Neodiprion lecontei: one gene and its partners. The protein of the gene in region 2 purifies or fractionates together with the protein of the main gene of each other region. This does not show direct contact. Links are inferred from orthologs where the notes say so. Each region holds a gene or a part of one and is shown on either strand. Other genes may lie near its edges.

The links.
Region 1: the proteins of putative pre-mRNA-splicing factor ATP-dependent RNA helicase PRP1 (region 2) and septin-interacting protein 1 purify together in Homo sapiens (co-immunoprecipitation; 4 studies listed by BioGRID and IntAct, with this or other methods). This does not show direct contact. The link is inferred for Neodiprion lecontei from reciprocal best matches to the Homo sapiens genes DHX15 and TFIP11.
Region 3: the proteins of putative pre-mRNA-splicing factor ATP-dependent RNA helicase PRP1 (region 2) and probable U2 small nuclear ribonucleoprotein A' fractionate together in Homo sapiens (co-fractionation; 3 studies listed by BioGRID and IntAct, with this or other methods). This does not show direct contact. The link is inferred for Neodiprion lecontei from reciprocal best matches to the Homo sapiens genes DHX15 and SNRPA1.
Region 4: the proteins of putative pre-mRNA-splicing factor ATP-dependent RNA helicase PRP1 (region 2) and splicing factor 3B subunit 4 purify together in Homo sapiens (co-immunoprecipitation; 4 studies listed by BioGRID and IntAct, with this or other methods). This does not show direct contact. The link is inferred for Neodiprion lecontei from reciprocal best matches to the Homo sapiens genes DHX15 and SF3B4.

The regions. Positions count from the first base shown.
Region 1 is NC_060265.1:1,084,157-1,092,268, forward strand, and holds septin-interacting protein 1, read right to left. Parts: upstream 5,009-8,112; 5' UTR 4,756-5,008; coding exon 4,647-4,755; intron 4,562-4,646; coding exon 4,330-4,561; intron 4,099-4,329; coding exon 3,918-4,098; intron 3,836-3,917; coding exon 2,880-3,835; intron 2,799-2,879; coding exon 2,602-2,798; intron 2,475-2,601; coding exon 2,046-2,474; intron 1,960-2,045; coding exon 1,802-1,959; intron 1,705-1,801; coding exon 1,456-1,704; 3' UTR 1,382-1,455; downstream 1-1,381. UniProt on the Homo sapiens protein: Involved in pre-mRNA splicing, specifically in spliceosome disassembly during late-stage splicing events. Intron turnover seems to proceed through reactions in two lariat-intron associated complexes termed Intron Large (IL) and Intron Small (IS).
Region 2 is NC_060264.1:26,637,609-26,647,435, reverse strand, and holds the start of putative pre-mRNA-splicing factor ATP-dependent RNA helicase PRP1, read right to left. Parts: upstream 7,336-9,827; 5' UTR 7,205-7,335; coding exon 7,155-7,204; intron 6,985-7,154; exon of another isoform or gene 6,855-6,984; intron 6,699-6,854; coding exon 6,349-6,698; intron 5,766-6,348; coding exon 5,071-5,765; intron 4,970-5,070; coding exon 4,739-4,969; intron 4,665-4,738; coding exon 4,445-4,664; intron 4,153-4,444; coding exon 4,030-4,152; intron 3,732-4,029; coding exon 3,541-3,731; intron 3,337-3,540; coding exon 3,174-3,336; intron 3,074-3,173; coding exon 2,946-3,073; 3' UTR 1-2,945.
Region 3 is NC_060263.1:37,389,676-37,395,968, forward strand, and holds probable U2 small nuclear ribonucleoprotein A', read left to right. Parts: upstream 1-3,978; 5' UTR 3,979-4,138; coding exon 4,139-4,220; intron 4,221-4,332; coding exon 4,333-4,373; intron 4,374-4,671; coding exon 4,672-5,251; intron 5,252-5,457; coding exon 5,458-5,504; 3' UTR 5,505-5,793; downstream 5,794-6,293. UniProt on the Homo sapiens protein: Involved in pre-mRNA splicing as component of the spliceosome. Associated with sn-RNP U2, where it contributes to the binding of stem loop IV of U2 snRNA.
Region 4 is NC_060261.1:8,361,984-8,368,689, reverse strand, and holds splicing factor 3B subunit 4, read right to left. Parts: upstream 3,567-6,706; 5' UTR 3,457-3,566; coding exon 3,423-3,456; intron 3,126-3,422; coding exon 3,042-3,125; intron 2,928-3,041; coding exon 2,653-2,927; intron 2,553-2,652; coding exon 1,701-2,552; 3' UTR 1,630-1,700; downstream 1-1,629. Other genes in the region: uncharacterized protein LOC107218135, read right to left, coding at 407-610; testis-expressed protein 2, read left to right, coding at 4,273-4,324, 4,558-5,794, 5,924-6,193, 6,344-6,539, 6,629-6,706. UniProt on the Homo sapiens protein: Component of the 17S U2 SnRNP complex of the spliceosome, a large ribonucleoprotein complex that removes introns from transcribed pre-mRNAs.

The DNA of each region.
Region 1 (8,112 bases), on a different chromosome or scaffold from region 2:
ATAGGTGTATCCGCACGGCGAGGTGGTATCTCGATCCTATACTGCACGTCAATTCGTGCACAAACGGACGTTGGTATAGCGAGAGTCCCAGCGATAGCTGCGGCCATACGCGTTTATCGGCGTTCCGCAATTTACGCCGACATAAATTACGTTGCGTGTATAAGGTTGTAGGATAGCTTGGGTATACACGTATATACGGGTGTACAAGAGTAGGTACACGTGATACAATAAGTACTTCGCATAGCGGGTGACGCGAGTTCCTTGTTGCGCATAGAGAATAAGGATCGGCATCAGACAATGTGCCCCGGAGTCTCAGAGGCTGCACCGTTGGAGTTTACAGGTCCTGGATAGGTGCCGGAGAGAGGGAAGAAGCCTCGCGGAGACGGACAGTTACCAGGCACTCTCGCATCTTGCCGGGATGCAAATTTCCCAACACCGCGAGACGCGTTCGTGACTGCTGCAGGAGGAAATGCCGAGGAGTCTTGAAGTCACTGCGTTGCCCTTCGTCGCTGGCTTCGAAGTAGTGAGGTGGGGGGGAAGGACGTCGCGGATGTCGCGGATCATGACGCGTGGGCGAAGGATGCCCATTCAACGCGACCGAAGTCGCGTCGGTGTTGGCTGCCCGTAGCCAGACCTCGTCTCCGCGGGAATCAACTATACAACTTTCCATATCGAGAAGTTTTTAAGCTGCACCTTAGTGGTGGGATAACCAGGGGCGCCTACACGCCTTCGACGCGAGACAGCTAAATAGAGGTGGAGAACCTTCCCTGCCTCCACAGCTGCTGCCTGCTGCTGCCTGCCTGCCTGCCTACCTCTCTAAGGCATTAATTATCGTTATTGCTGCTCCGCCGATTTATGCCTTATTCGCCTATGCTTCCCTCGTTTATGCGCTAGGTCATCTTTCCGGATTTTAACCCGTTGAATCGCGTGATACGCCTGGAATCGAATGAGGCATACGGAATTAAATAAACAAACCGCCCAAGTACACTGACGTATTGAGCTGCTTGTGCTTTGTGGTTACCGTTAAAATAGATATACACTGCGGTATATTTACAGTATTAATTATTCAGGCCCGCCTTATTTTGTAATGAATCCAACATCGTCTGATGTTTGCGTCTGATTACCAATAGCATTCTCATGAGACGTCATCTGATATTGTAAAATTTAACACTTCGAGTCAGATTTAATTATAAAAGTCCCAAATATTTCTCTCTGCGCATATTCTCAATGCCGCACGACAAACGTATGTGTAATTCGCCTGAAATTACATGTTGATGGGCTAGCTATATCGATATGACGGATCTCCGATATAATATTTTAAACAGGATGGATGGATGGCAAGGGTCATAGCGAACCGCATAATTAAAATTCGTCACAATCGTTTCATCGTGAACATATTTAATTTATCTAAATTCTAAGACTTCACTGCAAGTATGTACAATGGTATTTACAATCCTATATCTCAGCCATGTCCAGTAACGCGTTCAAATGGGTCGGAGCCCATGTGGATCCGTTGTGGCAAACAAAGACGACGTTTCTATCGATGTAAGCCTGAACGTTGCCGACTTTATAAACTTGTTTCCCTTCCCTGTATCTGTTTGGCACGGGCATAAAGAGGATGCCTCTTTCCTCGCACCGCTTTTGTATGAGATCCTTGAAGCCTTGTGGAATTTGCGACGCGGTACGCACGGCCTCGGCAATTCTCTGAAGTGGAAATCATAGAAACTCGTCATTATAGATATCTGCGTTAACTACACGGCGATACAAAGATAAAATAAAATCTTTCTTCTCTTGTTCTCACCTCCATCCTGGGCTGAGCGGCTGGCGCAGACGGAGGTAGAGCGGTTTGAGTTCTTTCGAGATTTGTGAGGTAGGACACTTGTTCCATTGCTCCGGGTTGGTGTCCCTGAGGTGCCGCTACCGCTCTGTTCATCATGTCCAACGCCTTCTTGAAGTAGTCTGAAAATTCGAAATATTTTCATGAGCACGTTTAGGTTTTATTGCGACACGTCCTTTACGTGAGAAAAAACTTGACAGATACTCGCCCTTTATTTGCGGCTCTGCCAGCAGTTTGTCACTCAGCATTCCCTTCCATCCCATATACCAGTTGGTGACTTGATCGTAATTGGGAGAATGATTTAACCAGAGAGCCAGGACTTGAAGCCATTTGGGGAAAAAGAATTTATCCAGTAGACCTGCCATGGTGTGAATCGGCAGCATTTCGTTCCATTCAAATACCCAATTCCATTGGTCCAGATGCTGCTGGTGCGGGTTGATCACAAATTCGGCTAAAACTACTTGAAGTTTTGGAATGATGTTCTTCACCAGGAAAGCTTCCATGTCTCCCTTCTTGAACACCAGGGACCACGGCTGCAGCATCAGTCTTGCTGATCTGTCCGAAGGATGCCACCCTCCTAGCGCTGAGCCCAACTTACGACGAATGATCGGATACACTGCAGTGTCTAAGCGATTACCTACGGAAAATCATGAACGGAGATGGGGAAAGTAAGAGAATGTATTAAATCGAACTTAAATAATTCATCCCTTGTACTCCGAATCCGTTACCATTCTTTTATCACAAATTTCAGCAACTACTCTTACCTATCAATGGTAACCAGGGATGAATCCAGGTATGAATTGGTACTGTGTCGGTGAGAGGATTCCATTCCTCAACTTCCAGCGTCAATTTGGGTAGAACCAACAAGTCGAGTATGTTTTCCAGTATCCATCCTGGCAGAAGAGGAATCCATTGCTCTAGAAGCTCGACTAGAGGATCAGGTTGCCGGCAAGCCCACTGTCTGAAAGAGTCAACACCTACGTAAGTTCCACTAATCAGCTGATATCTGACAATGTAATTTTCTGAAGACAAAAATACTCACTGTACAGCGCCTCTTATTGACGGCATCCAAGAGTTCCATACTAGTTGATCGTAGGGTTGCAGAGCTCCGCTTTGCAAGGTGCTTCTGCCACTTTCAAGAATATTTTTCCACTGCTTGAATAGTGGAATGGGGTGCGTAGGGTTCGTCAATGGATTCCAAGTAGATAAGAATTCCTTAACTTTGGGACCAACCAGGCCTGTGGCAAGTTCACCTAATTCGTACATTTTATACTCTTCGTAATATTTCTCCTGAAGATCTTTGAAGGCTGCTGCAGTTTCCTCTAGGGACAGATCATTGGATTGGTCCATGAGCTGATCGACGATAGATAGAACGTTTTCCAGAGTGTCCATTAGCTGTTCGTGCTGGTCTACTATCTTAGATAAGTTTGACCTTTCCGCCTCAAGAGCTACCACCCTGTCGGACATATGACGAGTTCGGCGATCGTTCTGTATAATGTCTTGCTCGCACAAATCGACTAGCAAATTGAGATTATGGCGGAGTTCAGGGAGGGCGAAATTCACGCCTGTTTTCTTTACATCGACCGGTGTAACAGTCTCATCGGGTCGCTGTTGTCCACCACCGATTGCATGATAGCCGCTTAACACTCGTTGTTCAGGTCCTGTCATGTCGATGACTTTGACTTTGCTCATTTCACTGTTCAACTGAACTTTTCGGTTCGGTCTTAACTTGCCATCCTCCAGTACTTGGTCAACGCTCCTGTAGCAATATCTCACTTTCTTCTTGCTGACCGTCTCCCCCTTTCGCCATTGCGATAATTTTGCTTTGAACTCCTTCTCCTCCTCTACATCCTCGTCTTTTTTCTTTTCAGGCACCTTGGCCAATTTTTCTGGACCATAAGCACCTATCGCTCCCCTGCCTTTACGGAGATGAGCCTCTACCGGAGCCATTATACCTTGCAACTTCTTACCGAGACCTTTACCGGGTTCAAAACCCATCTATAACAGGAAAATCCGACACACTGGTCATCGCAGGTGAATATTCTTTCATTAATAGGTAACAAACGAACCGTGTACTAACCTGAAGCAAGAGTTTCGCTCCAATTCCTTTTGTGTGCATTTCCCAACTTCCGACTCCTGATTTCATAAGTACTGGGTTAACTGATGTTCTTTTTTTTCGCAGACCAGCTATGTCACCTTCTAGATTCAAGGAAAATGATGGCTTTGCTCTAGCGAAGCTCGGTCCTTGGTCATCTGAGTCACTGGAATGTAAAAGAACAGGATATGGATTGTACAAAGGCGTAAGAATGGGAGCGATAGCTGTGGAAGAGTGATTGTAGAGCTTAGAATTTCATGACACTAATTTATGTTGATGACACAATGAGTTTGATTGTGCTGAGAATAGAAAATTGTACAATAAACTGATATTTAATACCACTACAATGATTGATAATTCATAAACTATGGTAGAAAAAATATATTAAAAGCTATACCTAGAACTGTTGGGAACGTAATCAGCATCTCCTCGTTTTGGCCGACCACCTTCGTCGTCATCATCTTTGTCTCCATCAGATTCTTTCTTGTCATCCTTGGGCTGTCCAGCTTGCTGAATACCACCGGCAACAAAACTAACTGGTGCGGTGTAATTCTTGGGGCCACGATTTGATGATTTGAAGGAAGGTCGTGCTGGCACTTCTTCTTCATCACTGTCATCAGCCCATATTCCTGACGATTACATTTAGTGATGGAGAAATATGTGAATGTAACAGAGTTAGGAGAATTCAAAGTAAGATAATAGATTTTTGCTTACCAAGCATCTGTTGTTTTTTGGACAGTTTTCGCCGAGGACGATTAATGTTGAATTCATTGTCCAGATCGTAGTCTGTTATTTCAAAACTTTCGACTTCGTCCTCAGACATTATAAGATCGATAGAATATCTCGGATCAAAAATCTAAAAATTTGAGGTTAACCCAATGCCTCGAACGTTTCTGAGTGAGACCACGTAACTGGAGTCGATGCGAACTTATTCTATATGACAGAAGACTTTAAAGTACCCTTGTGCTGTGTAGATATTGAATATCAGGTGATTTCATGTTAAAAACATCCCAGTGTCGAAAACACCAAATCGTGAACAACCATGCTCAAACTACGTTATTCTCTAGCGGACTCACGTTGGTCGGTTTCGTAAACTCGATGTACTCCAGCGATTTCGTAGTAGGTAACGTAGGTACTGCGACTAATAAAGGATTCTGTAATGCCGATAAGGCCAGATAAGTTATGAACGACGTAGCTATCTGAAATATCGACAAAACTTTAAAGAACAAATCGGATGTACACAGTCTAAAACTACAGGTGATGAGAGATAAACGGACTAGCAGCTAAGAGGAATTACTACGTGTTTTTGACGTATTTCCTCATCGGACGGAGCTGTGGCGATCTATTTGCACGTTTTTAAACTATTCGGGGAATAATTTGACGGGACGGGGTCATACAAGTCAAATCTGAGTTCAAAAGATTTTCAGCCAAAAAATGAAGAAAAAGTAAGGCTAACCCATTTGCATTTTTGTCGGAAATTTTCGCGATTTTGAGAAGTGCTGGAATAAATTCTTTCTGGCACTATTCCGACGTAATTTTGCGAGAAAAATCGATTGGGCGCAGTCCCAATACGCTGCGATCAACGCATCAAAAGTTAGAGCCGAAAAACCAGAACCCGAATTTTCGACATTTTTCAGCAGGTGTATTTTTCTACTCAATTTCTCTCCTGTTGATCCCACGCTCTTTTCGCTGCGTTTTCTAGGTTCCTTGGGGTCCAATTGGTCGGGAAAGAGTCATACGAATCAATTCTGAGACGAAAAATTTTTCGGTCAAAAAAAAAAGAAGGTTAACCCCTTTGTATTTTTGGCGAAAATTTTCGCGATTTTGAAAAGTGCTAGAATGGTTTAATTGTAGCACTATTCCGACGTAATTTTGCGAGAGAAATCGATTGGGCGCAGTCCCGATACGCTGCGATCAACGCATCAAAAGTGAGAGCCGAAAAACCAGAACCTGAATTTTCGACATTTTTCAGTTGGTGCTTTTTTCCTCGTATCTTCTCTCCCGTTGATCCCACGCTCCTTTTGCTGCGTTTTCTGAGTTCCTTGGGGTCCAATTGGTCGGGAAAGAGTCATACGAATCAATTCTGAGACGAAAAATTTTTTGGTCAAAAAAAAAGGAAGGTTAACCCCTTTGTATTTTTTGCGAAAATTTTCGCGATTTTCAAAAGTGCTGGAATAAATTAATTGTGGCACGATTCCGACGTAATTTTGCGAGAGAAATCGATTGGGCGCAGTCCCAATACGCTGCGATCAACGCATCGAAAGATACAGCCAAAAAACGAAAACCTGAATTTTCGACATTTTTCAGCAGGTGCTTTTTTCCTCGTATCTTCTCTCCCGTTGATCCCACGCTCCTTTTGCTGCGTTTTCTGAGTTCCTTGGGGTCCAATTGGTCGGGAAAGAGTCATACGAATCAATTCTGAGACGAAAAATTTTTTGGTCAAAAAAAAAGGAAGGTTAACCCCTTTGTATTTTTGGCGAAAATTTTCGCGATTTTCAAAAGTGCTGGAATGAATTAATTGTGGCACTATTCCGACGTAATTTTGCGAGAGAAATCGATTGGGCGCAGTCCCAATACGCTGCGATCAACGCATCGAAAGTTACAGCCAAAAAACGAAAACCTGAATTTTCGACATTTTTCAGCAGGTGCTTTTTTCCTCGTATCTTCTCTCCCGTTGATCCCACGCTCCTTTTGCTGCGTTTTCTGAGTTCCCTGGGGTCCAATTGGTCGGGAAAGAGTCATACGAATCAATTCTGAGACGAAAAATTTTTTGGTCAAAAAAAAAGGAAGGTTAACCCCTTTGTATTTTTTGCGAAAATTTTCGCGATTTTCAAAAGTGCTGGAATAAATTAATTGTGGCACTATTCCGACGTAATTTTGCGAGAGAAATCGATTGGGCGCAGTCCCAATACGCTGCGATCAACGCATCGAAAGTTACAGCCAAAAAACGAAAACCTGAATTTTCGACATTTTTCAGCAGGTGCTTTTTTCCTCGTATCTTCTCTCCCGTTGATCCCACGCTCCTTTTGCTGCGTTTTCTGAGTTCCTTGGGGTCCAATTGGTCGGGAAAGAGTCATACGAATCAATTCTGAGACGAAAAATTTTTTGGTCAAAAAAAAAGGAAGGTTAACCCCTTTGTATTTTTTGCGAAAATTTTCGCGATTTTCAAAAGTGCTGGAATAAATTAATTGTGGCACGATTCCGACGTAATTTTGCGAGAGAAATCGATTGGGCGCAGTCCCAATACGCTGCGATCAACGCATCGAAAGTTACAGCCAAAAAACGAAAACCCGAATTTTCGACATTTTTCAGCAGGTGCTTTTTTCCTCGTATCTTCTCACCCGTTGATCCCACGCTCCTTTTGCTGCGTTTTCTGAGTTCCTTGGGGTCCAATTGGTCGGGAAAGAGTCATACGAATCAATTCTGAGACGAAAAATTTTTTGGTCAAAAAAAAAGGAAGGTTAACCCCTTTGTATTTTTTGCGAAAATTTTCGCGATTTTCAAAAGTGCTGGAATAAATTAATTGTGGCACGATTCCGACGTAATTTTGCGAGAGAAATCGATTGGGCGCAGTCCCAATACGCTGCGATCAACGCATCGAAAGTTACAGCCAAAAAACGAAAACCTGAATTTTCGACATTTTTCAGCAGGTGCTTTTTTCCTCGTATCTTCTCTCCCGTTGATCCCACGCTCCTTTTGCTGCGTTTTCTGAGTTCCTTGGGGTCCAATTGGTCGGGAAAGAGTCATACGAATCAATTCTGAGACGAAAAATTTTTTGGTCAAAAAAAAAGGAAGGTTAACCCCTTTGTATTTTTTGCGAAAATTTTCGCGATTTTCAAAAGTGCTGGAATAAATTAATTGTGGCACGATTCCGACGTAATTTTGCGAGAGAAATCGATTGGGCGCAGTCCCAATACGCTGCGATCAACGCATCGAAAGTTACAGCCAAAAAACGAAAACCCGAATTTTCGACATTTTTCAGCAGGTGCTTTTTTCCTCGTATCTTCTCACCCGTTGATCCCACGCTCCTTTTGCTGCGTTTTCTGAGTTCCTTGGGGTCCAATTGGTCGGGAAAGAGTCATACGAATCAATTCTGAGACGAAAAATTTTTTGGTCAAAAAAAAAGGAAGGTTAACCCCTTTGTATTTTTTGCGAAAATTTTCGCGATTTTCAAAAGTGC
Region 2 (9,827 bases):
TATAGAGTTCTAGATTTATCTCTATTTTGTCCACTGGTCCAGAGGATGCTACATGTCTCATTATCAACCCAAACTTCTATCTATAGCATTCTTAACTATCATTGCAAATAGTATGCCAAAGAAGTTTGTAGTGATTGAAAAAAGACGCGATAGAATCAAAAAATAATGTAACGTGGTTTGAAAGATTGTTAAATTTATTGTGAAAATTTTTGTCAATGTGGTTATCTAGTTCATGCGTGCGAGATAAAAGCTGTGCATTTTTCCCTTTTTTTTTTGTGGTAGCGCGCGTAGATTTTGTAAAAAGAACGGTTTTTTTGTTCTGATTTTGAATTAGGATTTACTCTTTACTACAAGCTATATATTTTTGTAAGTTAGAAATGTGTAAGCCCTTTTTAAATACATGATATGAATATACGATGTATCGTGAACCATTAAAAAAGTTCCCTTATAAGATGTGCAAACTGATATAGTAGGGATAAACGAATTATTTTTGCACAATTTCTTTTTCTTGTTGTAATCATATGACTAATGGCTAAGTATTAAGTATTGGATAGAAAGTTAATTAAATAACAATTGATCGTTTTCGAGTTACTTGACTCTAGGATTGACACTAAATGTCAAAGATCAATTGTTATACATTTGAATTTTCTATTGCAAAGAAAAGAAAAACTGTGCCACGTACTACTTCATAACAGCTGGCATGAAAGAATTAACATTCAACAAAGTTTCTTGATGTTTTGATATCGAATATACTTGTTATTTGGTAATCGTTTGAACGTTGTAATTCGTATAAAAATGTACCTATACAGTATAATAACCGATAAACTTCTAGTTTATAAATACGTATGCCATTGGTTTTCTTCCAGCTATCAATGGATCAGAAGTATTGATCACATTTTTCTTGGTCAGAGCAGAGAGAAATAAAATCTTGTATATTACCAAAATGAAATGACTCGAGGTTTTTCTCTTTTCTCACAAGTTTCCTTTACTAAATTGAGAAAAAACACAATACGAGTGACTAACGACTGATGCGTTATATGGAGCGATATTGAAAAGTAAAATATTTTCTTTTGACAAAAGTCAAACTGATTTGTTAATATATATATATTTCCTATTTTTGAACGTTAAAAAATTTTAGTAGTGTAGGAGTCGCAACATATGTGTATCTGTTTATACCTTAATTCAATAATATAAATAATTCCGAGCAATACCCTGTATTCGCTGTACATACAAACCGATATTTCGTATTCGTTCGTTGATTTCTTCTTCAAATTTTGATACTCGCTGTATATATATAATAATTAAATAAACAAATTGTTAATTACTATTTGCTGACGAGTTTTAAAACCTCATCATCCTTTGAGCACGACTTAGTTGAACATCATTAAAACGTGCACAAGTAAAAACCATGAAATTGAAATAAGAATGATAAAAATGCATAAATGTTACAGGTATACTTCGTTTTATTGGAATGAAGTGATACAGCATAATGAAACGCTATTATATGTACAAAATTTGAAAAAAGCGACCCATCATCTGGCGTCAAACACGTAAAACATCATTAGTTACATTACCGTAATAATGTATTTTTTCAACTCATGGTGGTTAGTAGTTTCTTTTTTTTTTTTATTGCGTAAAAGAGAAAATATCGATCTTAACAATGCGAATGTACCCTATCCATGGAAAGGTGTACGAGTGCATTGAAAATACTCAATAAACTCTAATCACCGTTCCCAAGCGGTTAAAATAATTACTTATACAAATTCGAACGGGGTGTAGACTCGTGGTATTACGGTAATATACGTTGATGTACATAGGTAAGTAATTGAATTGAAAAGTAACTCATTATGATCAATTATACACATACGCGCTAAACTGTGTCAGCTAAAGCTTTTTCTATCCTAACGTGAAGTCACGTTTCAACGAAAAAACAGTCTGCACTCCTGGTGTTAGTTTTTTTTTTCCAAATTTCAAAGTAGTTTTTAACTTATTTTTAAGAAATGAAATCTCTATTACATCAACAATCATTAATCAACATTGAACGAATAACTTGACACAATATTTCCGTTCCTTGTGTTTTATTAATTTTTTTGTTCTCTGAAAATTTTCCTGTGCTTCTGTCAGTAATACAGAGCGAAACAACGGAAACTTCAATACAGACCACAGCCATTATTATTATAAATGTGTTATGACGAACAGTCACCAACGTGTAGCAATTTTTCAAGTGGAATAGTGAGCTAAATAGTAATTCAATAAAATTTATTCGTTACTTCAATTTGGGTAGGTATAAAACAGTATACACAAAGGGTGGTGAGGTATCCTATAATAAATGGATCACAAAATTGGTCGATGTGATCACGTACTCACTTTTTGGGTACAGTCGACAACTTGATTTTGCGTTTCAAAGGGGATAGTGACAAGAAAAGTAACTAACAATAACATTTGTTTCGTTAAATATCCGAACTGATAGATAGTAAGTTATTATTTATAGTGCAGTGGTGTGTGTCGGTAAGGTATATCAACTTTGGCTACATACATTATGAACGACCCTATCAACAATTTCTCTTCTGTTTGTAATTGTATTTTCCTTTTAAAACTATCAAACAGCTACGCTTTTTTGAAATTGTATAAATTAAGCCCACTGGTACTTAGGGTTGGATGTAACATCCAGCGGTTGATGGATTTAAGTATCCTGACGATTTATCCTGAGCAATAGGATAAACATCGAGTTTATAAGTCCTTCAGCATGAATATCATTGCCAATTATGAGAATAACGTTTATGTTGTAACAGGAGATGAACTTGGCCTAAGATCGTTTGAAAAATTGCTTTACCTCTATTTCGGTTTTTTTTTAATGAATAAAAAAAAAGAGTTTACATGCTCGAAGGACTGGGCTGGTCACAGCCGTTGTTAGTGATTGGTAACGTGGCTAAAAGCGAACAACGTTAGAAGCCTTCTTGATACTGTTTCGAATCTAGTCGCGTTTGAATACCTTCAAGCTGTCTTTTAGCTTCGCATTGAGGGAAGTTCTGCAAATCGTAGTATTGGGGTGCGATTTTAAGTAACCAATCGGCTGAAATGAATATGCATACATTGTTAGAATATTCGGTGTTTCGGTTTTTTTCTATTTCATTGAAGAAAAAAAAAAGAAAGTTTTTTACAATGGTACTCACGTTTTATGTCTGTTACTGTCCTGATGTAATTTTTTGTCGTAAGCACGAATTCGTTGTAGATTACCCACTCAGGTTTATGGTCAAGGCAACTGCTCGGATGTAATTGCACAACCTGATTGTCTTTTATTGTAAGATAGTGTCCCGTCCTTTCTAAATGTGCAACCTGGTATAAAAAAAAAGATCACAATTCATTATTATTCATTAATCTTTGTCATTTTCCGCTTAAAAGTGATTTACTCTCATAAGACCAAATCAGTGGGAAGCTAGAATCAAGCTTCTTGTCTGAACAATTTTTCATTCATATATTAAAAAGAGACGCATCAACACAAGTAGAGTAATACTCTTACAAATGTTTTCGATTTCTTACCTGCATGAAGAATCCGTTGACCAATGCTTTTCTGATGTTTATGTAATAGTCTTTGGACGTGAAATCGGTTGACGTACGTTTTAAACTGAACCTGTCCATGATCCTACTTAATTGCTGTCTAACGTTATCTCCACTCTTAAGTGATCGATAGTTCACAAAATGCTCATAACACCATTGCGGATCTTCCATATCTGAAAATTATTAAATTTCTGTGTTAACACTCATAGTTCAAATTTTTTATGTTTCAGAAAAACCATAATTGAAAAATCACAGCCATATTTTATGCGAGTGCCAAGAAATTACACAAACACAGAGATGAGGAATGAATCATCAATTTTGAAAAGTCATTCAATTAGTAACAAAAGCTTTAAACACTCAATCACGTCATAGATTTACACTATGAGAAAAGGCTGCAATTGATTTTAGAATTGTTGAATATTGTACTGTAGCACACTTGTCCTCGTAAATGACATTAATTTTTTTACTTACTCTGTTTAAAGGCATGATATACATTAAGAAGAGTCAGATGATCGCCATCGATATGCGCGAACCGCATTTTTGAGTCATCTGCAGCTTTCTTAGCCTCGTTTGGTCTCACAAAACACTGTGGGACTAATACCATGTCAATTGTCAATACATAACCATGTTACCTCACCACCATCCTAACTTGAATCTACTGTAAATTGCCAGCTTTCAATACATTTTATATTTTCTTACTATAGACTATAACTGATTTAGCGCTTTAAATAAGGAAGACACATGAAAATGTCTGAACAACATCCTCGACTATGGGGAATTTCTTATTTTCTGAACTTTGGAGCTGACGTTAAGCTAAATAAGAGAGATGTTAGAAAATTATGTGAATCTAAAATTAAAATGGAATCAACAAACCCCAATACAGTACCTGAAAGCATCGCGGTGATGCTGAGTATTTCATTACTGCAGTTATGGTTACATGAAGCTATTAACATTTTTGCCAGCTGAGGGTCGAGCGGAAATTCAGCCATAACTGCACCTAGGTCTGTTAAATTTCCGTCGTCATCAAGCGCCGCCAAGTAGTTGAGCAGCTCCAGTGCTCTCATAAGTGTTTCAGGCGCTGGAGGATCCATGAAGTCAAAATGAACCTGTAAAATTCAAATTTTGATTCAAATAATTGTTCATTTCATTTTATTAACAGTAAAAGAATCGCACTACTTACCAGATCATCAATTCCAAGCTTTTTCAATTGCAAAACAACACTGCCGAGATTTGAACGAAGAATTTCTGGATACGTGTTGTCCTGCATCTCATTTTTGTATGCTCTTTCTGTATAAAGCCGAAAACATTTCCCTGGACGAGTTCGACCTGCTCTACCAGCTCGCTGTTGCGCAGATGCTTTACTGATTGGCGATACCAACAAAGATTCTACGCGAATTCTCGGATTATAGACCTGTGGTAAGTGATACCATTTTCGTTAGAATATTCGGATTTAGCTTGTCATTTTTCAATACATATCAACATTGTAATTTCTGTGGGTGACGAAATAACTACCTTTTGCTTCGCAAACCCTGGATCAATGACAAAAACAACACCATCAATGGTCAATGAAGTTTCTGCAATATTTGTGGACACTACAACTTTTCTTCCAATAGCTCCGTTGGGTTTAGTAGGTGGAGCGGGTTCGAATATTCTTTGCTGAAGATTCGGTGGAAGTGTAGAATATAAAGGGATGCATTTCAGCTCTCCAACTTCAGGTCCTAGATTGTCCATTTCTCTCTTGATTCTCTTACAAGCTTCCTCGATCTCCTCCTGTCCAGTCAAAAATAAGAGAAGGTCGCCAGCCACTTCTTCGCACATGTGAATCTGTATTACTGTTCTAATTGCAGCCTCCAAATAATCCCTTTCTGGTTCTGGTGTGTAAAATATCTCTACAGGATGCGTTCGACCAGGAACGTTCATCAATGGTGCATTATCAAAGTACTGTTGAAATTTTCCTGCGTCTAGAGTCGCACTCATTATAACCAGTTTCAGATCTGGACGCTGTTTCACAACTTCTTTTAAAACTCCCATCAATAAATCTGTCGCCAGTGTTCTTTCATGAGCCTCATCTAATAAGATTACTTGATACGCTTCGAGCATGGGGTCAGACATCCCTTCTCGAAGCAGCATACCATCCGTCATGTACTTAAGCACAGTATTTGCAGAGCTGCAGTCCTCAAAACGGATGCTGTAGCCTACCTCTTGACCTGCAAAAAGGTAACGAAATTATTTGAATAAAGTATAGCACTCGATGATTCAATTTATAAATTTTGCCCATTTCACTTTTTCATTTTGCAGCCCCGGTACTATTTGTCTGGCCCGGAAAATTTGGCTCTTATGGAAAAGGGTACTACAATTTTGGATCAGGACAGAACTGAGATAATGCTCTAAAAGTGATCTTCTAAGTGTATTGAAAATTATGGATTGATGTTGACTTTGTTTAAGCCTTCCCTTAGTCCATGGGGCCATATACAGGCATGTATTTCATGCTTTAATAACACTTGTTGCGATATTGAATAAAATTGTCAAGAAGGACACGATGGTACTTTTTCGCATGTTTATCTAGTCCTATGAAAAAATAACCTTTCACTTTTACCAAGAAGCACGGTATTATCTTTAACATCAACTTGGCCATATTAGAAACAATTGCGTGAATATTTGTATGATAGTCCTTGAATTATTATTAAATTTTGTGATTCGATTGCAATAATGAGGCATAATTCGACGCATAAAAATATGTTGTGTGACTGATTTCATCAATAATAATCATATTAATTTTAATCTGTGTACCCAAAGCGACATCCATTTCTTCTGACACCCTCTGGGCAACTGACATGGCAGCTACTCTTCTCGGCTGAGTACAAGCCACAGCTTTCGGACCCATAGATCTTGAGTATTCGACACACCATTGCGGTATCTGAGTAGTTTTACCAGATCCAGTTTCACCAACTAAGACAATGCATTGATGCAGCGCTAAGAGCCTCATGAAGTCTGTTCTATACTCGAATACTGGAAGAGTTATTCTCTTCTTATAAAATTCATGATAACGTGGCGTATATGGAAGACCGGTATATGGGTTATGCTGAACTTGATTTTTGGCCGCCGTTGAAGTTGGCATGTTATTGGCGACTGTTCCATCTCTGTTAAGAAGTAAGACAACATTTATTTTAACAATCACTGTCACGTTGTTTTATAACTGAAACAATTTAAGGTTAGGAGTTACCAGTAAAGCATCAAGATGAACAATGAGTGAATTTATTGTGAATAATAAGCATACATAGTTTTAAATAAATTACATCAAATCCAAGTTGAGCACCTTTGCTGTAGTTCTTACAGGTATGTATGTACTGTATGTATATAAAACATTACTTGCTAATATAGAAGTTCGAATGGAACTAAAGATATCGTGGAATACAGTTAAAAATATTCAGAATGATGGGTGAAAAAGTTGAGGCAAAAATATGTGTATATATGTGAATAGATGTAAAATTAGATTTTGGTAATGAGAAGGATCGCGATGGAATTTTAACAATGCACATGGCAAGATTTAGTCTTCCAGTTGTTTAACCGAGGTGATAGATGTGCTAGTTACTTACTTCTTTCGTTTGATATATGGATCCACCACTTCAATCCTCCGCTTAGACATCGTGTGATCTTTATTTAAATGTCTAATTTAAACGAGTATACTGTTTACAAATTATTTATGTATGTACACGCAAAGCAGCGTCACAAAATGGCAAAACCAGCGGACATCCGAAGTCAGTGCCTTACTGATCATTAAAAATCTCTCGGCAGTTTTTGCGGCAAGTCCGCGGATAAGACGATACTCCTAGATCTAGCTGGCTGTGGACCAACTAATTAATTCGAATTGTCCGTATCACCAATTGGTAGGTATATACCTATATAAATTAAATATATATATACCCGTGTGTGTGTGTGGTGTGTGCAATATACACACTGGCTATTAATAATTCAATAGGTGAAAAGTATGTTTAAAAGTAAACAAAAAAATTAAGGTACTTGACGCCGACAGGCTACATTATGGGTGCGTTCCTAGCTCCCAGCGCTGTCGACGATCCTTTATCTCTTTTGCACTGCTGAGTTCGTGGGTGGCTTTGCCTCTGTCAAAGGGAGTTTGTTAACGCTGCCAGCTAATTTCGGAACGCATCCTAAACTAGAGTTGTGGCGTCATAGGCCTGCGTCAAGCTATATTTTCAGAGTGTCAAATTGACGCGAATAGCACTACGACGTCGCAGGAAAAGTTGCCCCTGAAAATGCCGCACGTCAAAACCCACGTGATTAGGTCAACGGACCTCAATAACATTTCTATTCGCAGATTTAAGAAATCTAGGATTACTAATTGCAAGTGTGAAAAAATGGTGAAAATGAAGAAGCAAGATGAAGTAGCTCATAGCGTGTTCTGACTGCGCGCAATTTATTCCTCTCGCAAAATTACGTCGATATAGTGCATCAAAGAATTCATGCAACTATTTTTCAAAATAGGCCAAATTTCGACCGTCTAAATACAAAAGGGTATAGCCTTGCTTGTTTGCGATTTTCAGAGCTCGGAAAATTTTCGTCTTACAATCAGAATCTGTTCAAAAGCCCTTTCTGGACTAATTGGACCCCAAGGACTGCATGCAAAAAAGGTATTTATTGGAGCATCGTAGGATCAACACAAGCTGAGAATATACGGAAAAATATGATGAAACTTATTTTGGTATTATTCATTTTATTCTAAGTTACATGCAATAGTAACAATACAATATCATACATCTCGCATCCTGCACAGGTGCATTGCCCCTACACACAGGTTGGAACTTAAATTGCGTACACAAACTACCTTAATTACTATCTCATACAGCATTGCTCATATTCTGCTTCGTGGCTTAAATGCAATGTATTTCGCAGAATTTTCCCCTTACTTGTATCGTCGACTGAGAATGTATAAAGTCTGATAATCTGGGATATTTTCACTGATATATATTAATACCTATATCAGTGGTTATTTTGCGTAACAGTTTGCCGGGTCGGGTCGGTTTGAGAGTATTAGCAGTTTCCCGTATTATCAACCAATTAGCAACTGACCACGCCGGTGAAAGAAGTGCCTCATAACCTACACTATCGCCTGCAAAACGTTGGTAACATACCTTCGTCATAGTGAAGTTGAAAATTTGACAAAATCTTGTTCAAGAAATGTCTGTTATGAGTGGTCCGGGAATTCATACTTCGCCTGACGTCGCATATTACGGCAAAGCTCTAAACATATTTTGATCGCGTTGCGCGTAGCTTACGTGGTGTTTTCACCCGGCCGTTGAGACCATAGGGATACATAAAATAAAGCATAAACAACGGGCTAAGCGTCCCGTCAACGGATTCGAATCGGTTCTCTAAAGGACAGAAGATAATAATTCTTCCGCCCTCTGTGTCGGTCTGCTCATGGAGTGGGGGGCCACGAGAGGGAAAAAACAGCTAGGTGGGCGCAGGCGGGCGTGTGCAGCTACCCCCACTCCATGGGAAGAGCAGCATAGAGGGCGGGAGAATTATTATCTTCCGTCCTTCACAGAACTGATTTAACTCTCTTCTGAACGTCGTGCGGAATCAGTCGTTTCCGAGAGATGAGAGCGGCGTAATGTGTACGCAGGATTATTTCAACATTCAGACCGCGTTGTTCGATCAGTGTACTTGCACCATACTCATCTGTGAACAATACACGAAGAGTAGCGTGTAGCTTGAAGAGAAACCGAGTTACTGAAATGAAAACATGTTCAAGGTGAATTTCGTGTCTCGAGTTTCCATTGTTTTGTGTACCTTTAGGTATCAGTGATGTCTATTTTAGCATCTGTGCGTCGTGTGTCAGTTTCATTTTATTTTTTTTTTGCTGATCTTCGGTAAATGCGCAGTTGTATAGTTAAAAAGTTTATTCAGTCGGTTCAGACAGCTACAGCACACAAAGTGAATGTAGCCTCGAGTGTTATTGCGGTGCGGATTTTTGGACTATGAGAGTGACGATCTAAATTACGTGAAACGTGCTTCGCTTCTCCAATAAACTTCAGATGTTGCACGAACTACTACATGTAAAAGTGTGGAGCAGCCCAGAGTCGAGGTAACAATACTTATTTTCATTATTGTTTGATAATTCAAGGTGGTACATACAAAGCCGAACTTTTGTTCTTGCATAACATGCAATGAATACGAAATTGGACAACAGTAATAATTAATTTGCAGACTGAAAAGCCATTTTATTAAATTAATTGAAATGTTCTGTT
Region 3 (6,293 bases), on a different chromosome or scaffold from region 2:
AACCTGATTACAGTTGCCAAAACTACGATTTCTGATTATTGCAAGGCTTAATCTGTTTGTTAATAGTTGACTAGGATCTTTTTAGTTTAACGAGGCCTTAACATCATTTTGTTCTTACAACAGCATCAAATTATCACAACGGTTGGAAGAAAATGCATCACGAGAACAGTAACATCTGTTGCATGTGATTTTATTTTTGTTAGTTAGAAAAGTGATATCCATTTTGAACCCGGAACCATATTTTTTACGGTTATGATGAGAATATGAAAATTGTCGAGGACCGTAAAGTGACAACGACTAGAAATTTCTTTCGGTAAATTCACGTCAACGCGTGAAATTAGGTTTCTGACGAGTCGGCGAATATTCTGGACATCGAGAAATTAATGAGGCGGCATGGCGGCAGTGAATTTAAACTAGCAATACTTAGGAGTATGTCCGTTTCTTTATTACACGTCTCCGCTGATTAGACAAAAAGATTATATGTGTTTTCAATTCGTTTATGGAGGCTATTATTCATTGTTGTTTACTCTCGTAGTAACGGACAGTGCAAATCGCTGGGGGAATTCTGAATATCTTAACGTATATGGGAAAACTTTATCGTCAATTAAATAGAAATATAAAAGTGAGTAAAAAATTTTTATATTCTCTCTGAGAAGAAAAAAAATTTTGTTTTGTCTCATCGAAAGGTTACCGAATACCTACTTTAATTGCGTAGTGTGATTGTAAACAAATATGTTTTTTTTTTTGTCGAAGAATGGATGCGTAGGAGAAAATCTTGCAATTTTCAAGTAAATCCAAGTACCTACGCATTGTTATACAGTTAAGTGAATATTTTTCTTTCCAATGCCACATGACTCGACTGAAAATTACCGATGTGACCCTGCAAATTGTGCCATGCGCGAAGCTCTGATATTATCATTAATGTATTGTCGATCTATTTTCGCGTTTACTGTATTCGAGTTTTTATACCAGACTTATAACATGTGGATTGTACTCAACTCAACGAACACATAAATAATGAATAATTCATTGTTCATTTATTCGGCGCTGTTTTCTTGCCCTTCAAATCGTATTTCCTGCAGACTATAAATAATCAGAAATCAATTTATGTTTCCCGGTTGTTTGATGGAGTTCGGTTTTTTTTTTCTTCCATTCGGACGGATGTGATTGAGCACCTTGAAACTCAAATGGCCTTGCATGGGTTTGGAACGAATTGTTTTCTGCAAATACAATTCAAATAGCTAGACGTTCGGGGATTTCTCTTCAATAATTTTGCGTGCGAAGAAATAATTAATATTTGCGTTATAAAATATTATTTTATGTGCGACCCGAAATCCAGTACAACTTTCAATGCAAATCATGCATTGCAAGTCTGGCGAAGAAGTTGGTAATAAACAAAAATCATAAAAGCAGGCTTACAAAAATAAAACTCAAGTTAATACGTTGAATTTTCAAAGAATCTCTTCTTACATGTAGTCCGAAAATGAAGCAATGGATAAAAACGGTAAATTAAAATCAATCGTAAATCGATGTAATAAACTCTGCGAGGCATAAATTCGTTGATTACAATCTGTGATGAGTTTGTATGGGACAAGTGAAATCATCCGGGTCGATCTGTGTCAGTGTTAGTCGATAGTGTTATTTCGACAAAATTTCCGACATAATCCATCGAAATTGGAGACAATAATGGATGATTGTTGATGATTAACGATACAACTTTTTGGTTAATTATAACTTGATTTACTTGAGTCATCGCTTCTCAATCTCCGTTACAATTTTCTATGACCCAGTTTCGAAAATAAAATAAAATTTTCCGACGCTCGAACTTACCTTGCGGCGTTGATATAGGCGAGTTTTGTAATTTTTTGACCTGCTTTATTTTCACAATAATTTTACCAACGGTTTTTGTTTGAACCTCCTGCAGATGTGCAAAAATTGAGAAAGCCAATTGCATGGACATGCAAGTTCAAGGTTGAGAAGATCTATAGCAAATTGACCTTGATAATAAAGTCGAAATTATTTGCACTCAACGCGGTTGGATCTTTCATTTAGTAAGACAGGTAGAAAGGTGATTTCTCTTTTTTTGGAACATTCATGCGTATGAAAATAATCGTTCAACATAGTATGCATCAAAATCTGGTTCCTATTCATCTACTGGCATTAAAGTTAGATATGGGTGAGAAATTCGCAAATTTAAATAAAAATCGCGACTATGTTCCCTACTCTTCGATATGTTATTCGATTAACGAAGAAGGGGCATTCATTTAGTCCATCGCATCTAAAAAGTAGGTAAATCATTTGTTCCAGTTAATTCGTCTGTTAAATTAACGAGAAGGTTAATATTCTTAGAGTGAATTTAATACAAAAACCTACATAGTTTTGTGTGTAGTTCAAACTGTTCAGAGTGTTTTTTATTTCTAATTTCAAGACAAGGAAGACTGAGAAGAAAAAACCGCTCATTGATTGCTTATATCAGATCAAGTTACTTGTTAGGAACAGGTAAAAAAAAAAAAACGGATGACGTTCGATTGACGTAGTTAATGACACCAATAACAAATATTCTGGAGACGTTGGTATCCAATACGTCAGGGAATGCTCTTTCAACTATTTACATTTACTTAAATGGTATTCTGGGTAATTGACAAGAGAAGGAATTTAAATAAGCTAAAATCATAGAACGGTAGATATTCAGGGCTGCAGACCATGAGCAAATATGTGTCCTTTTTAGCAATAATACTTCACTGAAAATTATAACCGCACTAAAACTACGTTCGGTGTTCAATTGAAATGGCAAAACTTTTGAAAACAAATTTCGCGTACGATATTTGTTAATCCAAACGTTCCAAAGGTAGAGAACTAACAAATGTTCAACGAGCTGAATGACGAGGAAAATCGTTCAAGTTTACATTTTTTGGGAAATATCTTCGGAATTTGCCGCAGCTTAGTGTATGTAATGTTTGTTGAATACAAAAATCAGTTCAATTCGTATAAATGTATATACAGTAACTAATTTTGTAATTCAAATCGTCGACATCTGTGATTTCTTCCGATATATTATGATCAACATTAGCTTACCATCAGTATTTACAAAATCCTAAATCATTCAAATTTTCAATTTTCGCTAGGTAAAAAAGATTTTTTACTTTTTTGAATATCTTTGAAATTGAAGTAGGATTATACAAAAATGTACCATAGAGCCGACAGATTAAAGGTAACGGTACGAAGTTGATGAATCGGTACAGAATTTACGAGATTAATGAGCAGAAAAAGACCTTATGAAAATCATATGAATAATTGAGATAATGAATGTGCTTACTGAGCGCAGTCTCTGCAGTTACCGACTTGATCAGATGACTCGGTTGGTAATGACAGAAGACCTTCATTACTACCGACCACGGTCTTACATACAGGTCTGGTAACTCCGGCAGTTTTGAGTGGTAGGGGGTGTCACCGTTAGAGAGGCACACGGTCTTGTTTCCTATCCATCCGCTAGGGGCGCCATTGGCCCGGGGTATGCTAGATATAGATATATACCGATAAGATAACCTGCTCATCGAAGTTTTTGCCAGTTCATAACTCAGTGTAAAGTGTGTAAGCGATGGATCATCTACACAAGATCTCAAACTGTCTCAAAAGTTGTGAGCCCTCGCTTGATGTTTATGGATTTTATTGACTTAAACATTTGAGGATTCCGTTGAAATGAAACAATTATCATGCCCGCTATGGAATGCTAGTAAGCATTTCAATCATTTTTTATTCGCATCTTTCTTCATTTTTGAGTGTTATTCAGGATTGTTGATTCTGAAAAACCAGCTGTTCGGATCTGATTTATGATTAACTCACCCCGAGGGGACAGCGCTGCAGACGGTGAAGACGAGAACCACGGTTTTGCCTCATTATCTGAGTCATTCCCCACCCTACTAGTTTCCGGACCTGTATGTAAGACCGTGCTACCGACGCAATTACTGCTGATCATAAACGCTCCGTCGACTCGGCTGTCTCTAGTCTTCTGAGTTCGTGATTGATTCACCATAGCTGCGTCAAAACCGTAGTCGGAACGGTCAAAATTAGCGTAATAAACGGAAAGGATTTGGGACACGTTTCTTTACAGTTGCTGAGAAATTTATTGTCTAGAAAAATGGTGAAGTTAACACCGGAATTGATCCAGCAATCGATGCAGTACATAAATCCTGTACGAGATCGAGAATTGGACTTGAGAGGTGAGAATGTTAACGGTTTTTCAAACGACGTTGCGCTGCTTTGGCGTAACTTAACCTGAAAAATTCAATTTTTGCACCGGTTGTTGCTGAAAATTTACTTTTTTTATTACAGGATATAAGATACCAACGATAGAAAACCTGGGGGCCACCTTGGTGAGTATCAACGTTCAAGAAATAAACAAGAACAGAAAAAGAGATTAACTTGAGGTCAGAATTGATTCCCAATATATGAGAGTTGAATTATGATGGAAGAAAGTCCGTTTTTGCATGCATGTATAAAGCAATTGTTGGGGGATGAAGAGCATTTGTTTCTGTACTTCTAACATTGGCATTATGTATTATGGTTGCCTGAAGTCGAACAGTTTGATTCAAGCCTTTGGGCTTCGAGTTCAGAGTTGGTGAAACAAAAGAGTGCTATTGATGCATTGTTAACAGCCTATATTTGTTCCAGGACCAATTTGATACAATAGATTTCTCTGACAATGACATCCGAAAGCTGGATGGATTCCCGTTGTTGAAGAGACTGAAGACCTTGTTCTTCAACAACAACAGAATAGTCAGAATAGCCGAAGGCTTAGAGCTCTGTATTCCATCGCTGGAGGTGCTTATGCTTACCGGTAACATGATACAGGAACTGGGCGACTTGGACCCACTCATTCCGCTGAAGAATCTTCGGAACTTGTGTCTCCTGCAGAACCCGGTTTCTGCCAAGCCTCAGTACAGACAGTACGTCGTCTATAGATTGCCACAGCTCCGTCTTCTCGACTTCAGGAAGATAAAGCCAAAGGAAAAGGAAGCAGCCATCCTCTATTTTAGAAGCAAGAAGGGCAAGGACATGGCCAGAGAAATAGCCAAAAAGGCCAAGACCCTTGTTGCTAACAATGGCACCCTAAGCAAACCACCCACCAATGCTGAAGAACGCACAAAGATCAGAGAGGCCATCACAAAAGCTTCGTCACTGGAAGAAGTTCAACGATTGAGCAAGTTACTACAAGCTGGTCAATTACCTGGCGAGGAATCTTCACAGAATGGTATGGAAAACTTTACTAAAATTGTTTGTACGCCTGGCCTCGGAGCTTGATTTGAACATAGTAAGACTATTCTAGCAAATTGAGTTGCGAATGAATTTTTTTCCAAATAAAACATCGAACTCGATACTTATTTCAAAATCAATTTTTTGCAGACGAATATAGCGCTTGTTTATGCTCGCGGGCTACTAATATCTCCTATTTTTCAGGCACCCCACAGCAGCCAACGCCAATGGAGGAGGAGGACGATGAGTGAACTAAATTGAGGGATAAATGTTTAATAATCTGTTTACCGCATTACGAATTAAGTTCTTTTTTTTATAAGGTTACAGCGTAATCCCGTAAGTATGCATTGCCTCCTGATCAACGTTTGTAAAATGAAATATGTAAAAAAAAAAGGTTCTGCATATTAAGCTAATAAGAAGCTGTACACTACACAAAATACAGCATTATCCATTGGAATGTATGGATAGAAAGCGATGGTAAACCGAAATAACGGTTCATTGAAAATTCTAAAAATAAATTACTCTTTGATTGCAATGAAACAAGGTTCGGAAGCGATTTTACCTGAACGAAATTTTCTCTGTAATGTTTCTCCGCTGATTCTAATGTAAATCTCTGTTTATTTCAGCGTGGTTCGAATAAAACACATTGTTTTTCACATTATAAATTGTGTCTTTTAATACTTATTACCATCCAAAGTTTCCCAACAACTTAATTTGCTTGCAGAATTTCATCAAAACTAACCATAAACTAATATTAATAGTTGATATAATCTCACGGTTTGCATTGATGAAAATTCATGCGTAAATCAGTAGCTCAAAGATCTTCTGAATCCCACATTATCACTCAAGTTTAGACGAACCGTTCGCGTCTGTAACGCAGCTTAAGCTAAACTGGAGCATACAAAATCAGCTTCGAACCGTTGTAAACAATTTTTGTTTTGATTTTCCTCACTCTAGGGTCCGTTCGAAGCGTCGAAACTCGGATTAGCGACTTAGACCGCCTGAAGGTAAATTACAAGTCATACACAAACGTAAGACCC
Region 4 (6,706 bases), on a different chromosome or scaffold from region 2:
AGCTGAGATGAGAAACGTAATTAACAGTTTCGGATGGAATACGTTTCGAATGATTGAATTTGCCTGTTGAAAGGTTTAAACTGTCATTTGAACTTATGGTCAAAGAAAAATAACAGCCATCGTAACTTCGGTTGATAGAAATTGATAATTCCTATGGTCATTGATGGAATAAATTTTTCTAGAATTTGTCACGCGGCTTTCATTCATCGGTTTAACATCGTCTCAAAAATTTTTCCACATTCAAGCGGGTTTGTAATTCTGGCGGGAAACTTTTTGAAATCCTTCCGATATGAATATCACAGACTCTCCGATGCTTGTGAAATGAATAATAAATTTTACAACCGTCATCAAGGTCGTTTCGTTGTATTATTAACTATATAATAATACAAAATAAACATTATCTTACCGATGTGAGCAGAAATAGAGCGAGCAAAGCGAGTCCGAGCCAAAAGTACCAGGCTTCCCAAAGCTGGCGAGTCGGTCTTCGCTGTACAAGGCAACATTGTGAGTTGCAGCAGTATTGCTTGTTGATTGTACAAAATATCGGACCACTGGCTGTGTAATTCTCACTACGCAGTCCGAAATTGCACTCGTATATCGGACGCGCCATTGTACGATTAAAATTACCTGCACTTACTTCAGACACGTTTGAGCAACATTGATACGGTCGTTTAATTTGTCACACAGAATTTTAAAATTAGCCACAAATTATTATACTCACTGATTGAGTCGTTTACACAGTGATAATTTATATCCGTGTACTTCACTTGCCACCGTAAAAACATATTATTAAAATACGAAGCGATCCTGTTTGATGGATAAATTTGAACCCCGGTGCATTAGCAAAAGTTCGAATCACTGTGCATTTTGTTTTGCATATAACGAAAGTTCCCGTGATTAACGACAGTAATCACCGTGCGATTGATGGCTGCTGATTTTATGGGAGTTTGTCGTGTTTAACTGGGGTGTTCGAACTTGCGCAACGCGCTTTAAATAGGGATAATCACCTCACGGTCAAAGCTTTGCAAGTTCGATCACAAGAAAGATGATTATTTGGCTCAGAGTCAATGTGCAACAGATGAAACGATCGTTTACCACGTGCCTCGTAAAACTGAACAAATTTTTAACATACCAGTTACGAATTAAGTTTACGTCGCGGAAAAGGACATGGCTACGATGGTAGTCTAGACGGCACAAATGCGAAATAATCGATGCGACGAATGTCCCTCGTACAATTTACGCCAGGTAGGTGCGGTCGATACTGACCAACTGACCGTACCAGGGTGCTAAGATAGTTCGAGCTGACTGTGGCGCATTTAAATCACTTGTTGCAAACGAGCAATGTTGCACAGTTCAAATTTGTACGATTCTAACGAATAATCGGGATGGAGGAGTGAAGTAAATTGGGATTTTCGAGTTCTTCGTTCTCCGTGTTCAGTATCATGTTTGCCGAAATTAGTTTACCTGTCTGCAACAAATAATTAAAATAAAAAAAAAATAATGCAAAAGCGTTGTGACATTTGACCGAAATCGTAGATTGGTGGAAAAAGTTTAAAAATCTTAAATTTCTAAAGAGGCACGACTATGTAACATAACTTCTTTTCTCTCGATCCAGCAAAAATATTAATATAATACAGATTTACATTTTATTCAATCAAGTCAATCATTTGTTATAAAACATTCAATTTATAAGTCCCAAATCAGTACTGTCCCGTTTCATGCGGAGGTGGTGGAGGTGGTGGGCCTCTCGGTGGGAATGGCGGCCTGAATTGCGGCGGCGGAGGGGGGGGAGGCCCTCCTTGCGAAGCAGGCGGAGGTGGTGGATGGCGCCACCCTGGAGGAGGTCTAGGCGGCGGTTGAAACTGTCCATACTGTGGTCCACCAGCACTGCCTGGGGGAGGCGGAGGAGGAAACTGGCCCTGTGGTCCCCAGTGTGGCGGAGGCGGCATCATGCGAGCAGCTTGCTGCTGCTGCGAGTTTGGTACAGGCATAGGAGGCAGAGGAGGTGGCATCCCTGGGGGAAGAGGGGGATGCGATTGGTGCATTCCTGACATCGGTGGTAATGGAGGAGGTGGAATGTTGGATGGAGGAAATCCTCCCGATGGTGGAGGAGGGACTGGAGGCGGGGGAGGGTGGTGATGGTGTCCCATCGGTGGCCCAGGAGTCGAGGGAGGCGGCGGGGGAGGAACGACCATTCCGTGATGATGGTGCATCATTCCGTGATGAGGATGATGCGGATGGTGCTGAACCTGGTGCGGCGGCATGTTGGGGTTCTGAGCCTGAGTCACTGGATTGAGAGGCGGTGCGTCCGCGAACAATTGATGCGGCCTGTCTGCTTGGCTTAGCGGATTTTGAGCTGCGAGTAGACGCTCTGCCGCACTTCCGTGACGCTCGCCCTTCGCGTCTCGCTTAAAGGCGTAGGACACGGAGATTGGACGGTTGCACAAGTACTGACCATTCATCGCCTCAATGCTAGCGTCTGATGCGTCAAATGATGCGAAATTTATAAAGGCAAACCCCTTTGAATTTCCTGTTTCTGGATCTCGCATTATCTGAAATATGGGTAATGCGGAGCGTTAATTATTCACGTTTCTTTTCGATATATGAGACGCAACAGCTTAATTACTGATAATTGAAAGCGACTTAACCTACCTTAGGTGTTTGGAGAATAACACCAAATGCACTAAACGTATCGTAGAGTAATTTTTCATCTACTTCTGGATCCAAGTTTCCAATAAAAATGTTTGCTCCTACGTCCAAATTCTTCTGATGGGCGCTAGCTTTATTTACTCTTATTGGTTTCCCGTACAGCTTGATCATGTTCATAATTTTGATCGCGTAATCTGCATCCTCCTCCCCCATAAATTCGACAAACCCATATCCCTGGTGCATTTGAGTCACTCTATCTTTTGGCATATGAACGTTAACTGAAACAGAAAGTTAGTTTTGAACAGCCAAGCATGAGACATAATTTAATGAAAATGATTCAGGTTTTTCTTATAATTTAATGGAAGAAAAAGACAATAGCAAACTTTTCTTACCGACGGGGCCAGATTGTACGAAGAGTTCCCACATGAGAGACTCCGTAACTTTGTCGTCAAGACCACCAACATAGATTGTAGCATCTGGAAATACGTCATATTCAGGTTATTTATTAGTCACAATTGACTTAAGAAATAATTATGCGCGACAATGAAGTAAAAATTAGGATTCCAGGCAACGTTCTTTCAAAAGTACTTCTAGCTACGAGATAACATAACCTAACATAACCTAAATCGTGCATTGTTCGTAACAGAAAATGTTGAGTTAAAGATGCGCAATTGAAAACTTATCCGCGATGTTTGTGAAATGCAAGAAATAGGTCTTTGAAACGAAACGACAATTGTTAATCTCCATTAATTTTCGTAAACATTATGAATTACCTTGATTTCTTTCGGCGATCGGACCGGCCGCCATCTTTCAAGCAACGCGTACGATTGACGTTACGATTTACTTGGCTGCTTAACTCGGCGTCGCTGTCTAGCTATGAAGTGAGCCAAAAATCGAGAGGCCATGATTGTCATTCGACAATCGATTTAAATGATTAAGTTTGTCCAAGCTTCGTCATTCCGACGTGTGACACGTGTGTGTATGGTGTGCGACGATGTGCGGTAGTAAACAGATATGATGTGAAATCTGCGCTATATCGCGAAGTAAATTGATTATTTTTCGCATAAAGGTAACTACTAACCGCGCGGAGAACTCCGACCAAACATTGCGTGATTGTAGGTGTAACTAATAGCATGACTCTGTTTTACGTTTGCCGAATAAATATGCCCAACGGGTAGGAATGCAGGTTCTTTATATTCCCAGTAGTGTAATATCTCTAATACGGAATAAAGTAAAAAATAAGAAATAGTCGGCTGTGCGTAGCGGGGAATCACAAGCTGTCTGCGCTTGTGAATGTGAAGTATAAAAATCCACCGGTACGACAAAATACGCACTTCGTAAATACTGCGTCGTTATAGTTTTTCATTAGAGTTTTCGATTATTGACACTTGTTTACCGCGAATATGTTGGAGCCAGTTTTAAAGTACGTTTATTACGCTGTTGCGGCAAGTTTCTGGAACACTTAACGCAATCCTTTGCAGTTGCTCGCGACACTTGCATCTGACAAGTGATAAGTAAAGAGAGAAGAAAATAAAATCGAAATTTTTGGGTTTGACACGAAACCGCTCGCTTGTTTCTAGCTTTACAACTATTGTCTGACCGCTTTTTAGTGGCTGTGGAAAAATGAGTTCCAAACCAACTACCCCTGGAAAGGTTACCCTGGGTATGCTGAAGGGTGAGATTCAATGTATTTGTCTGTCGAGACTAATTTTTATTTCGCTCTCTATTGCCTCTTGCAATGTTTATCAAATCTTTGGTACTTAATTCCTAGCATGACCAGCATTCGGTGTTTTATTTTCCACAAACCAGCCTCTACATACTTATTTTATTTCTAAACTAATGTAGCAATTACAATTTGTGCCAACAGCGTGACGACAATATGGTAGCTAATTGTTTTTGTTAAAACAGGTAAACCAATAATGACCTCGGTGCCGGTGATCCGGTATCATGCCAGTGACAATGAACTTGAGGAGCTTTACCCAAGCACAGATGACGACGAGTTGTACACTCCGGAGTCTGAGCACCCATCGACAAAATCTAGTCCATGTAAAACTAGTCGGAATAGATCTGAGGATGAATTGGGAGAAGGCACTAGTCTGGGCAGGCGATCGGCAAGCGTCGATGGAAATTTGTCGGAAGGCACACCACCCACCGATCCATGGAAGATGTTATCCGAAATCAAGGGAAAGATAACAAAAACTTTTGAGGAAAAAATTTCTGAGATTAAAAGCGAGAGGAAAAAGAAAAAACGCAGAAGCAAAGATAATTCTAGTGTTAGTGATTCCGAAGACTTGGCTGACATCACCCCAACTGAAGATAATCTTTCGGAACAACAGGAACTGGAGTCTTCATCCCCTGTAAAATTCAGTAAAAATCGTTCCGCCAGATTCACAGGATTCTATAACATTAAGACTGGTCTGAAGACAAAAAATTCTGAAGAGGATAGTGTTGAGAGTGGAGTAGAGGCTGCGGAGCTCGCCGAGGACGATTTGTTATCAAAATCTAATTTGGATGACAAAAATTTACAAGCTCAGCGAAGCTCGGATGGTAATAAAAAATTACAAACACCTCTGATCAGACTACCTTTGAATGCTATTGAGAAGCTTATTCCACAGCGAGTAAAGTCCGAACCTGCATTGACTCAACTTTTTAAGAAAATAATTTATCAGCTTATCAGCGTTCCCATAATACTTCTCGGCGCGTATCACGTTATTCCTTTGCCTGAATACATAGTTGGTCTCATTGCTGGAATATTTGTTACAATCACGATTCAAAGAGCGTTAGCTCTAGTAACTCAGACTTTAATGACACCTCAGAAGATTGAAGACGTCAGAAGCGGCGACGAGCAGGTCTCTGTTTTGGAAATACCTGCAGCAGAGGAGCATGTCGTTTTGGATCGATTTGAAGGGTGGCTAAATCAGCTGCCATACAGCTACGATCCTGACAATTACCACGTTGCTAGAACAGTTTCAGTTTACTTCAGATTAGAAGGAGGCAGCTTAAAGGTGATGGAAACTAAGACGCGAATACCAAAACGTGAAGTTTGGGACGAGCCAAAACAGAACGTTAGATACATTTGGAAGAAAGTCTACACGCTTGCTAATGCCACAATTAAACTACTTCCGGAAGGGCTGATAAGAAGAAGGTAACTTATCACAGCTGTGCCTATACAATCCCTGGTATTGTTTACTTTTTAATGTGAACCCTCTAATTTATCTTATTTCTTCTTCTCCGCACAGCTTAGAATATGAAATATGACGTTTCGTTGTTACAGGAGGTGGAGTAAAAAGTATCCAATCTGCATAACATTCGGTAAGGATGCTTTAATTGAGAGTTCTTCTTTAAATGAGACATCTGAGGATGAGATTCTTCAAAAAATTGGCGTTGATGAAGATGGCACCATTCATGAAGAGGATGAGACTGATGAAGATCTGTCTAAGGATTCAAAAGAAGCTAAAGATGTTTTTGAAGATTGCACCGACGAGAGTGGTCAGAGATCAAAGATGTACATTTTTGCACGAACAGACAGACAGAAGGAAGATTGGTAACTCTCATCAATCTTTTATAATTTATAATGCAATTCGTTTGATTCCTTATGTCATTCGTTCACTAAATATTTCAACTTGCCTTGTGGGTACATATTGCAACAGTAGCTGCAAAATATTACAACTGGTTTTCACTGCATTGTCAATAGGTTTAGACGACTGAACGATGCTGTCAATACAGCTAACAAGCGTGGGTCAGTAAGTTCTATAAATGAGATAATCCTGGCAACAACATCGCCGCCTGTACAAGGCAACAACGAGAGTAAGAATTCTGTCACTACAATCGGATCGTCAGAAATTCCTAACGAACTGAGTTACAGTGCTTATATGGCGATGTACACAGCGGTAAGAAGAACATAACAGATTTTAATTTTTTTTCAGTCATATTTCGTATATTCATGCCTTCTTTTACAAGTGTTGCCATTCTATTTTAGATGACTGCTAGTGCGTCATCCGATTCTGAGAATAGAGAGAAGAGTAACATTACTTGGATGAATGCTCTTGTTGGTAGA